Linked DNA regions of Lonchura striata. The protein of the gene in region 1 purifies or fractionates together with the protein of each later gene. This does not show direct contact. Links are inferred from orthologs where the notes say so. Each region holds a gene or a part of one and is shown in the gene's direction. Other genes may lie near its edges.

Evidence for each region. Proteins that work in one complex are often made in the same cells at the same time.
Region 2: the proteins of PHLPP2 (region 1) and USP1 purify together in Homo sapiens (affinity purification with mass spectrometry; 3 studies listed by BioGRID and IntAct, with this or other methods). This does not show direct contact. The link is inferred for Lonchura striata from reciprocal best matches to the Homo sapiens genes PHLPP2 and USP1.

The regions. Positions count from the first base shown.
Region 1 is NC_134615.1:23,822,050-23,825,793, forward strand, and holds the start of PHLPP2 (PH domain leucine-rich repeat-containing protein phosphatase 2), read left to right. Parts: upstream 1-1,496; 5' UTR 1,497-1,513; coding exon 1,514-1,645; intron 1,646-1,857; coding exon 1,858-2,102; intron 2,103-3,744. UniProt on the Homo sapiens protein: Protein phosphatase involved in regulation of Akt and PKC signaling.
Region 2 is NC_134611.1:6,444,098-6,447,841, reverse strand, and holds the start of USP1 (ubiquitin carboxyl-terminal hydrolase 1), read left to right. Parts: upstream 1-1,049; 5' UTR 1,050-1,147; intron 1,148-1,305; 5' UTR 1,306-1,338; coding exon 1,339-1,499; intron 1,500-2,592; coding exon 2,593-2,716; intron 2,717-3,039; coding exon 3,040-3,147; intron 3,148-3,645; coding exon 3,646-3,744. UniProt on the Homo sapiens protein: Negative regulator of DNA damage repair which specifically deubiquitinates monoubiquitinated FANCD2. Also involved in PCNA-mediated translesion synthesis (TLS) by deubiquitinating monoubiquitinated PCNA.

The DNA.
Region 1 (3,744 bases):
ACTGTCTTTACAGTACCTGGGATCTATAACTCAGAAGATACTGAAGCACCTGGGAAAGGTACCAGTGCCTTGGCTAAGGCTGGTACTAGCTATGGGCCGCGGCAGCAGTGACACTGGTGCACTTTTGTGTGTTCCTTTTCTACTTGGAGGCTGTGAGGGAAGGAGCTGCTGGACTTCTTCCCTTTTAACTTTCACTCTACTCCTGTATATTCCTTTTTATTTTGTGATGTTGTAATTTAAATTTTACACAGAGCCCCATCCTGCCTCTTTGACAGTATAGAGAAAAAAAGGCAAACAAAATTACTAAAATACAAACCCCCAACAAAGCCACCAAATTTAAAGTGAAAAACATGCCATTTGAGGCAGGGCATCTGTTGGCACTCAAAATTCTGGAGACCTATTTTTGAGATGTGAAAAATTTAATTAAATGCTGAGTCACAGGTGAGTGAGGAGCTTAACAAATGTAAACATTTACATGGGATGCATTAGACTTCTGCTGTGTGTATTGTCTTTTGGTTGAAACAAATTATGAAGTGACTAATAAAATGAGACGATATTCAATGATTTAAAATCGCCTTGTTGCTTTCTGCCAATACAGTGGGATAAAATGTTTTGATTCTTAATGTTTGGCCATGGCAATGTGAGATGATGCAAAATAACATGGCCATGTTTTGAAAAAACTTTACAGGAAATTTTGGAGACTAAGATGAGTGGACAGTTGCAAAACACTTGAGTAGTTCCTGTGGAATACCATCCTGAGAGAGAGCATGTTAGTTACAAGCAGCAATGTTTGTCCAGGTGCTAGAAAGGCATGGTGGGATCTGAACACAAGTAATGTGTTTGGAGCCTGCTCTAGGAGCTTGTTAAAAGACCCCTTTCATACTCCATGTGACTCTTGGACAAGGATTGTCACCATATCTCTCTCACCACATGTGTCTGCTTTGTGTTTTAGTCACAGTCACATTTCACTAGATGACCTTTCACGTCTTTTCAAACGTGTAATTTCACTGCGGGGAAGGTGGGAGGCTTTTTTTAATGTTCTTGATCCTTGAGGGAGAAGCAGTGGCTGCCCTAAAACATGCTCAAATTCTTGCAAACTGTCATGATGATGTCATTGGTAGATGATGACGTCACTAGTAGTTAATGACATTATTAGTAGCAGACACTAGTTAAGACTGGCAGAGCTTAGGAGATGGACCTGCAGGGCAGCAGGAGCACGGTGCTGTTCGGCTGCTGAGCAGCGTACCTCAGCTGCGGGGTGCCGATGGTGACACACGCTGGAGCTGTGCGGAGGGCGAGCGGCGACAGGTGCGTTTGCAGCGTTCGCGTGAGCTTTGCCTTCTCCTCGCCCGGCTGGCGAGCGGCTCACACTCGTACCGCCCGCTGGTGCAAGACGCGGACACGGGCCCGGTGCTCGCTGCCCCGCCGGTGCCGCCGGGGCGGGGCCTGCGCCGGACGGGCCGCGCGCTTCCGGGGCGGGCCGCGGAGGCCCGGGGTGCCGGCCTGGCCGGTGATGGGGGAGGCCGGGCCGGGTGCCGGGCTGGGGCCCAGGGCTGCGCAGGAGCCCGAGGAGGACGAGGCGGCCGCGCCGGGCGCCACACGAGGGTGCCGGGCCGGATCCCGCGGCGGCATCCGGGTGCTGAAGGTGAGGAGGAGACCGAGGCCTCCCCCGCTCCGGGCGGCTCGGTGGGGGGAGTGGGAGTCGGCTGCGGCACGTCGGGCACACTTGCCCGCTGCGACCGTGGTCTTTCCCATGCCAGTGGCTGCCGCTTGTGCGGAGTTGCGGAGCGGGCCGGTGCGGGCCGGGTCGGAGCGGCCGCAGGCGCTGCTGACGCTCAGGTCTGGGCTGCCTTGCAGAGGAACGCCAAGCGCACCGGGAGCAGGAGCTGCCAGAGCAGCAGTCGGGTTGGTTCCCGTGAGAGGACCTGGCTGAAAGGGGATGTTCGACGAGGCTGCGTGTATGTTTATGGGAGAGACTCAGCAGCTGCGGCTCCTTCGGACTTGCACCTGGTCCTCTGCACAGTGGACACCCAAGCCGCGGAGATCTGTGACAGAGAAGGGAGGAAAAACCTCTTTTTGCAGCTTCATGGAGACCTGGTCAGGTGAGGGCTGAGAAAGGATAAACCTGACTACAAAATGTTTTGTATAGTTTTGCGAGCCTCTGTTCACCATGTCCCTATGCCTGTTGTGAGGGTGGGTAGGGAGCAGGTAGAGGTAGTAGCTGGCAGTCAGGTACAGCCTTAAGTCATGCACTTCATAAAAATTAGGTAGTGGTGAAATAGAAGTTACACACCTCGTAGTTATGTGTTTTAACAGGGAGAGTTTGGCTATTGCTCCAACCAGAAATATGTCCTCATTTTCTGAGTAGAGGCACCTGTTCATATATTTCTTTAGTATGTTCTGTGTTATGGGGATTTTAGCATCTGGACAACCTCATCTATTTAAGAGGCTGTAAACAGTTACTTTGAGTCAGCAAAAGCAGTAAGGTGCTTTCGCAATTATGTCATTTCATATTTACATGTGAGTAATTTTTTTTTTGCTGAGAAGAGTTGTCAGCTAAGTAATTAAAGGCAGATAGAAATTGTAGCAAGGGTTATATAAAGAAGGTTTAAGCATCAGATGCTACGTTTTATGCCGGAAGTCAATTTAGGCTGAAAATAGATGGCTCAGGGTTGTATGTGTGCGAACTTTGTGCTGTGACTGTGTTATGGACTCATCTTGGTTTAGAAGCTCCCATTCAGTTTGTTAGGATTTAAACTTTGCACTGATTCTTCCAGACTTAAGATGCAGTTATAAAATTGCCACTCCTGTTCTCAGAGGCAAATGATTGCTGCAGTCTCCTTACTTAAAGGTTGGACAGAGGTAGTAGCTGGATTTTGGATAGTGAAATGAAGGTTACAGGTCTCATGTGTCCAAATCTTAAAACTGTGATGTATGTTTGCTCTGCAGTGGGGTGGTAATGCTAGTGGTGGGAGATGCAGAGAGAACAGGACGTGTTCAAAACTGACTCTTAGAAAAGATTATTTACAACCATTTGCTTTACCCTGGTCAGGGTTACAGGAATTAGGGATGGATTAGTTAGAAACACTGTATGAGAACAGATGGACACTTGAACACTGCCACTGAGGCAGCTGAAAACCTCTGTTGCTTGAAAAATTTGTAAGGGAGTTGGCATATTTTGGACCCTAATAGCGAGCAGATTTTCCAGCAATTTTTAAGGAAGAGCAGAGCCATTTGTGCAGATCATGAAAAAATTAGGTAAAGCTTGTAGATGTTTTCAGAGAGATACATTTTGACTTTATTTAGCTTTTGAAGTGGCTTTTGCATTTGAATTCTTTTCAACCTCTCTTTTCTTATGCTAGCTAGCTGTGCCTGTCTTTGATTTGTGGTAGATTTTGCACTAGATTAGCAAATTGGATCTTCTGTTAGCCTTTTGGAAGCAAGTACTGAGCTGTAAATTATTACTTCCCACTCCTTTTGCCTCTTGGTATGTTTAGGACTTGGCCAATATTTTTCATAAGTTTTGTGAAGAGTTCTTGGTTATGATGTGTCTGTTCCTGGTAATTTTCAGAGTGTGTTTGTCACAGAAGAGATCCTTGAAATACTTCCCACTGGAGTTTTTCTTGGTAGAGAAGTGGGAGTTACCAGTATTGCTTCAGTAACACCTGTGTTAGTAGCAGGAAGCAGGCCAGAGTGGTATCTACTTGTATGTCCATGGGAAGATGATAGAGTGCTCAAGATTAT
Region 2 (3,744 bases), on another chromosome or scaffold:
ATAGTGACTTGCTGTAATAATTAATTTAGGCAACAGCAAAAAAAAAAAAAAAAAAAAAATTCTGAAAATATTGCAGGACTGCAAAAAAGAGTGATTTTTGTGGAGGTCAGTTTGCGTTAGTGCTTAACAGGAGTGCCACGCTCAGGGCAGGCAGCAGCAGCTGGTCCTGTGGAACTTCAGCTTTTGAGTGCTGAAATTTGGGGTAATTCACCCCAAAACCCAGATCTGGGTGTTGCCCAAAGTGAGTTATGCAGCTAATCCTATAAAATATCTTATGTGAATGAACCTTTCTGTTGGAAAACCTGTATGAATAAGCAACGTGCATCCTTTATGTACAGACGGGAGGTGCTGGAGGGGCCAATGTAAAGAGCAGAACGCAGAAATCTACAGCATTTTCCCACATTCCGTCTCTTTTTAAGCGTGGCGACCCCTAGCCCGCCAGCTTTGCAGCCGTAACAGCCTCAGCGCTACGTGCCATTGGCTGCCCGGTGTACAGGTGCGCTGGCGGAGCCCTGGGGCCGGGATGCGCTGGGAATTCCGCTGGAATGTGCGGATTGTGAGGGGAAAGCGCGGGAAGCTCCGGGCCACTGCGGGCCCTCAGGGCGGGGAGGGCGGGAAACGGAGCCGCCGCCTCTGATTGGCCGAGCCGCGCAGAGGGCGTGGTCACAGCGGGGCCAATCCACCTCCCGCCGGCGGTGGGGGGGCTTAGAGGGCTCTCCCCACGCTAGTGGTACAGCCCAAACCCGAGCCCTTTGGCCGGGCCGTTACCAGCGCCCGCGCGCGCTCAGGCAGGACCCACAGCGGGCTGCCCGCCGCGCTGCCTGATGCAGCGTCGCCCTTGCGCGGCCGCTGGCGGCATCACGGCGGCTACCGGGACGCGGCGGACATACCGACGGCGAGGCGGCGCCGCGTTCCGCATGGCCTCCGACCTCCGGCGCGCTTCGGCGGCGCGCTCGGTTTACCGGCGTTCTCACCGGGCGGCCGCCAGCGGGTAGTGGGTGGGGGGGGTTGCGGCGCGAGGCGGGGCGGGTGGGAGGGGGGGGGGGGGGTCCTCGTCGGCGCGCGGAAAAAAACGCGCCAAGTTGTCCGGCGGTGTCCGCGCGGTCTCCATGGCAACGGCGCGCGGGAGCGGGGCCGGCATGTAGCGGTGAGTGAGGGGAGCCGCGGGCCCGCCGGCCGCGGGGAACATGCGGGGGGCGCGGGGGGGCGGCCCCAGCCCGGGGCGGGGGGCGGCGGGTCCGCGCTCGGCCCCCTCGGGGAGTAAATGGCGCCTGGTGTGCGCGTGTGTGTGTGTGTGCGCGCCAGGTGTGAGCGCCCCGGCCGCGCCCCGCAGGAACCATGCCCGGCGTCCTGCCCGGCGACAGCGCCAGGGCCAGCCCCTCCAAGAAGAACCGGCTGTCGCTGAAGCTGTTTCAGAAGAAGGAGGCGAAGCGGGTGCTGGATTTCGTGGAGGCGCAGGAAAATGAGGCGAAGGGAGCGGAGTTGCGAGGCGCCGAGATGTGAGTGCCGCGCGGGACAAGTTGGGGTGCCGGGGCCGCGCCGCCATCCCCGCGCCTTTCGCTTTCGGCTCCGCGCTGCGCCTCAGCCCCGTTAACGTGCGCGCTAAACCCAATTAACCTGCTGCTTCCGTTAAATTAACGAGCGCTTACGGTAATGCAACCGGCGCCGCGGCTTCGCCAAACCGAACCACCTAAGTGCCGCAACCAATTCCCGTCTCAAAAAAGCGGCGCACCGGGGATGTCTAGTTGGCACAAACTTTGGGATCGCTTGCTGAAGTTAGTTTTTAAAACCAACTTCTAGGAACTCTTTTTTTAAAAAATAACTTTTATTCTGCTGCGATTTGCTCTTTTGGTATTTTGGATTGGGATCAGTCGAAGAACTTGCTTTGCTTCGAGTTAATATAAGTAGTTATTGTGTCACTGAGCTATTTATATTAAAATTTAATTCCTGCAAAGCGAGCTTTAATGAAAATATGAAGGATCTTTAATTGGGGGTTGGCTGTCATTCATTAGGGTTTTTCAGGCCCTAAGCAAAACTATTTCATTGCTACTGGGGGGATTTAAGTTGGAAAAAGAAAATTATGGTCAGTTAGAAATAGTTGGAGACTTTAAAATTGGGTTGCGTTGTGTCATTGCAATGTATAATTCACTTTTAGCAGTGATTAATAATAATGATAATCTATGCACTAGTGTATAGTGTGTCAGGTTTATTGGATTCTTTTTCTAGGTTTTTTTTTCTGGTTTTATGCTTTGGCTTTGCACCCAGAAATGAAATGATGTGACTGGAGCAGGGTGCAGTGTAAAAATACATTCTAGGCACATTTTTTCTGCCATATCAATGAAGAAAGAACATACAAAATTATTTAAATATGGAATTTTTGATCTATTAAATCAGTCTCCTGCTATGTTGGAACTTGGAGCACGTGTTCCTCCTGTGTGGTTTTGGGGGGTTGCTGAGAAGTCAGTGTGAATTCAGACACACTTTGGCAGGGTTTAGACCTGCATGTCTCAGTGCTGAATTCTCTGAGGTGGGGAGAGATGAAGGAGGGATTTTTTTCCAGAGTGTCTCTTACCCCATTTCTCTGTTTCCCAGTGACCAGGTGGTTCCTGCAGCACAGCCCCCCTCCCTTGTCAGCTGTGAGAAAAAAGACAACATGTTGCCTTTTGTGGGCTTGAACAACCTGGGCAACACTTGCTACCTGAACAGCGTCCTGCAGGTGAGGCCGTGTCCAGGGGGGCTCCAGAAGGGAGGTTTTGGACAAGCACAAATGGGTGAAATCAATTTATTCTGGGTGCAGTGTAAAGGGCATCTCATTACAGCAGGGGAAACAAAGATGCTGCTGCAGGAAATGTGTGCCCTGTGGTCGTCCTGATTGGGAAATTCTTCAGTTTCCATACTCGGGGCTCCTCCCTGCTGTGAAAAATCCTGGATCTTTGTGTGCCTGGGGAGGTGCAGAGCTGTGTGGATGATAAATGTGCATTTATGTTTGGAATAACTTCTTACTCCAGTTATTCTTGTGTTTTCAACTGTTGCTTTCAGGTATTATATTTTTGTCCTGGTTTTAAAACTGGAGTAAAACATTTATATAACATTATTTCAAAGAAGAGAGAATCTTCAAAGGATGAAGGAGAGCAAAAGGCAGAAAAGGTAACAAATCCCCACGTGTTCTTTATATTTGTAACCTCACAGGCAAGGCTGTCCTGAATGTAGGGAAAATTTAACTGATTTCTGTTCTTAAGAAGCTTTTCAGCATAGTTTTCTACACTGTTACTTAATCTGAAGATGTATTTTAGTGGTTTTGAACTTTAGCAGAATTTTTAAAGTCTAACACAAGAAATTTGAGGAAGATACCTGACCATGCTTCTGGCACAAAGATAATTATGATACAGTGCCTGGAGCTGATGGAAATGGTAGTTTGGACAAGAATGGTTTGGGATTTTAAACTAATGGCTAATTGGGCTTTTATGTTTGTCTCCTACTTGGAAAAAAACCAAAATATTGTCTGAAACCCACCTGCCTCCCATAGCAGACAAAAAATTCAGCCAGATATAGAAAACCAAGGGGGAGGGGAGGAGAGAAAAATGTTAATTTGTGACCAATGTAACTGTGGCAAGTGTTCTTATTCCTTTTACATTGTTATTGCAGGGAAGCTGTAAAGAAGATCCCGTGGCAAGTTACGAGCTCATCTGCAGTTTGCACTCCTTGATCCTTTCAGTTGAGCAGCTTCAAGCCAGTTTTCTCCTA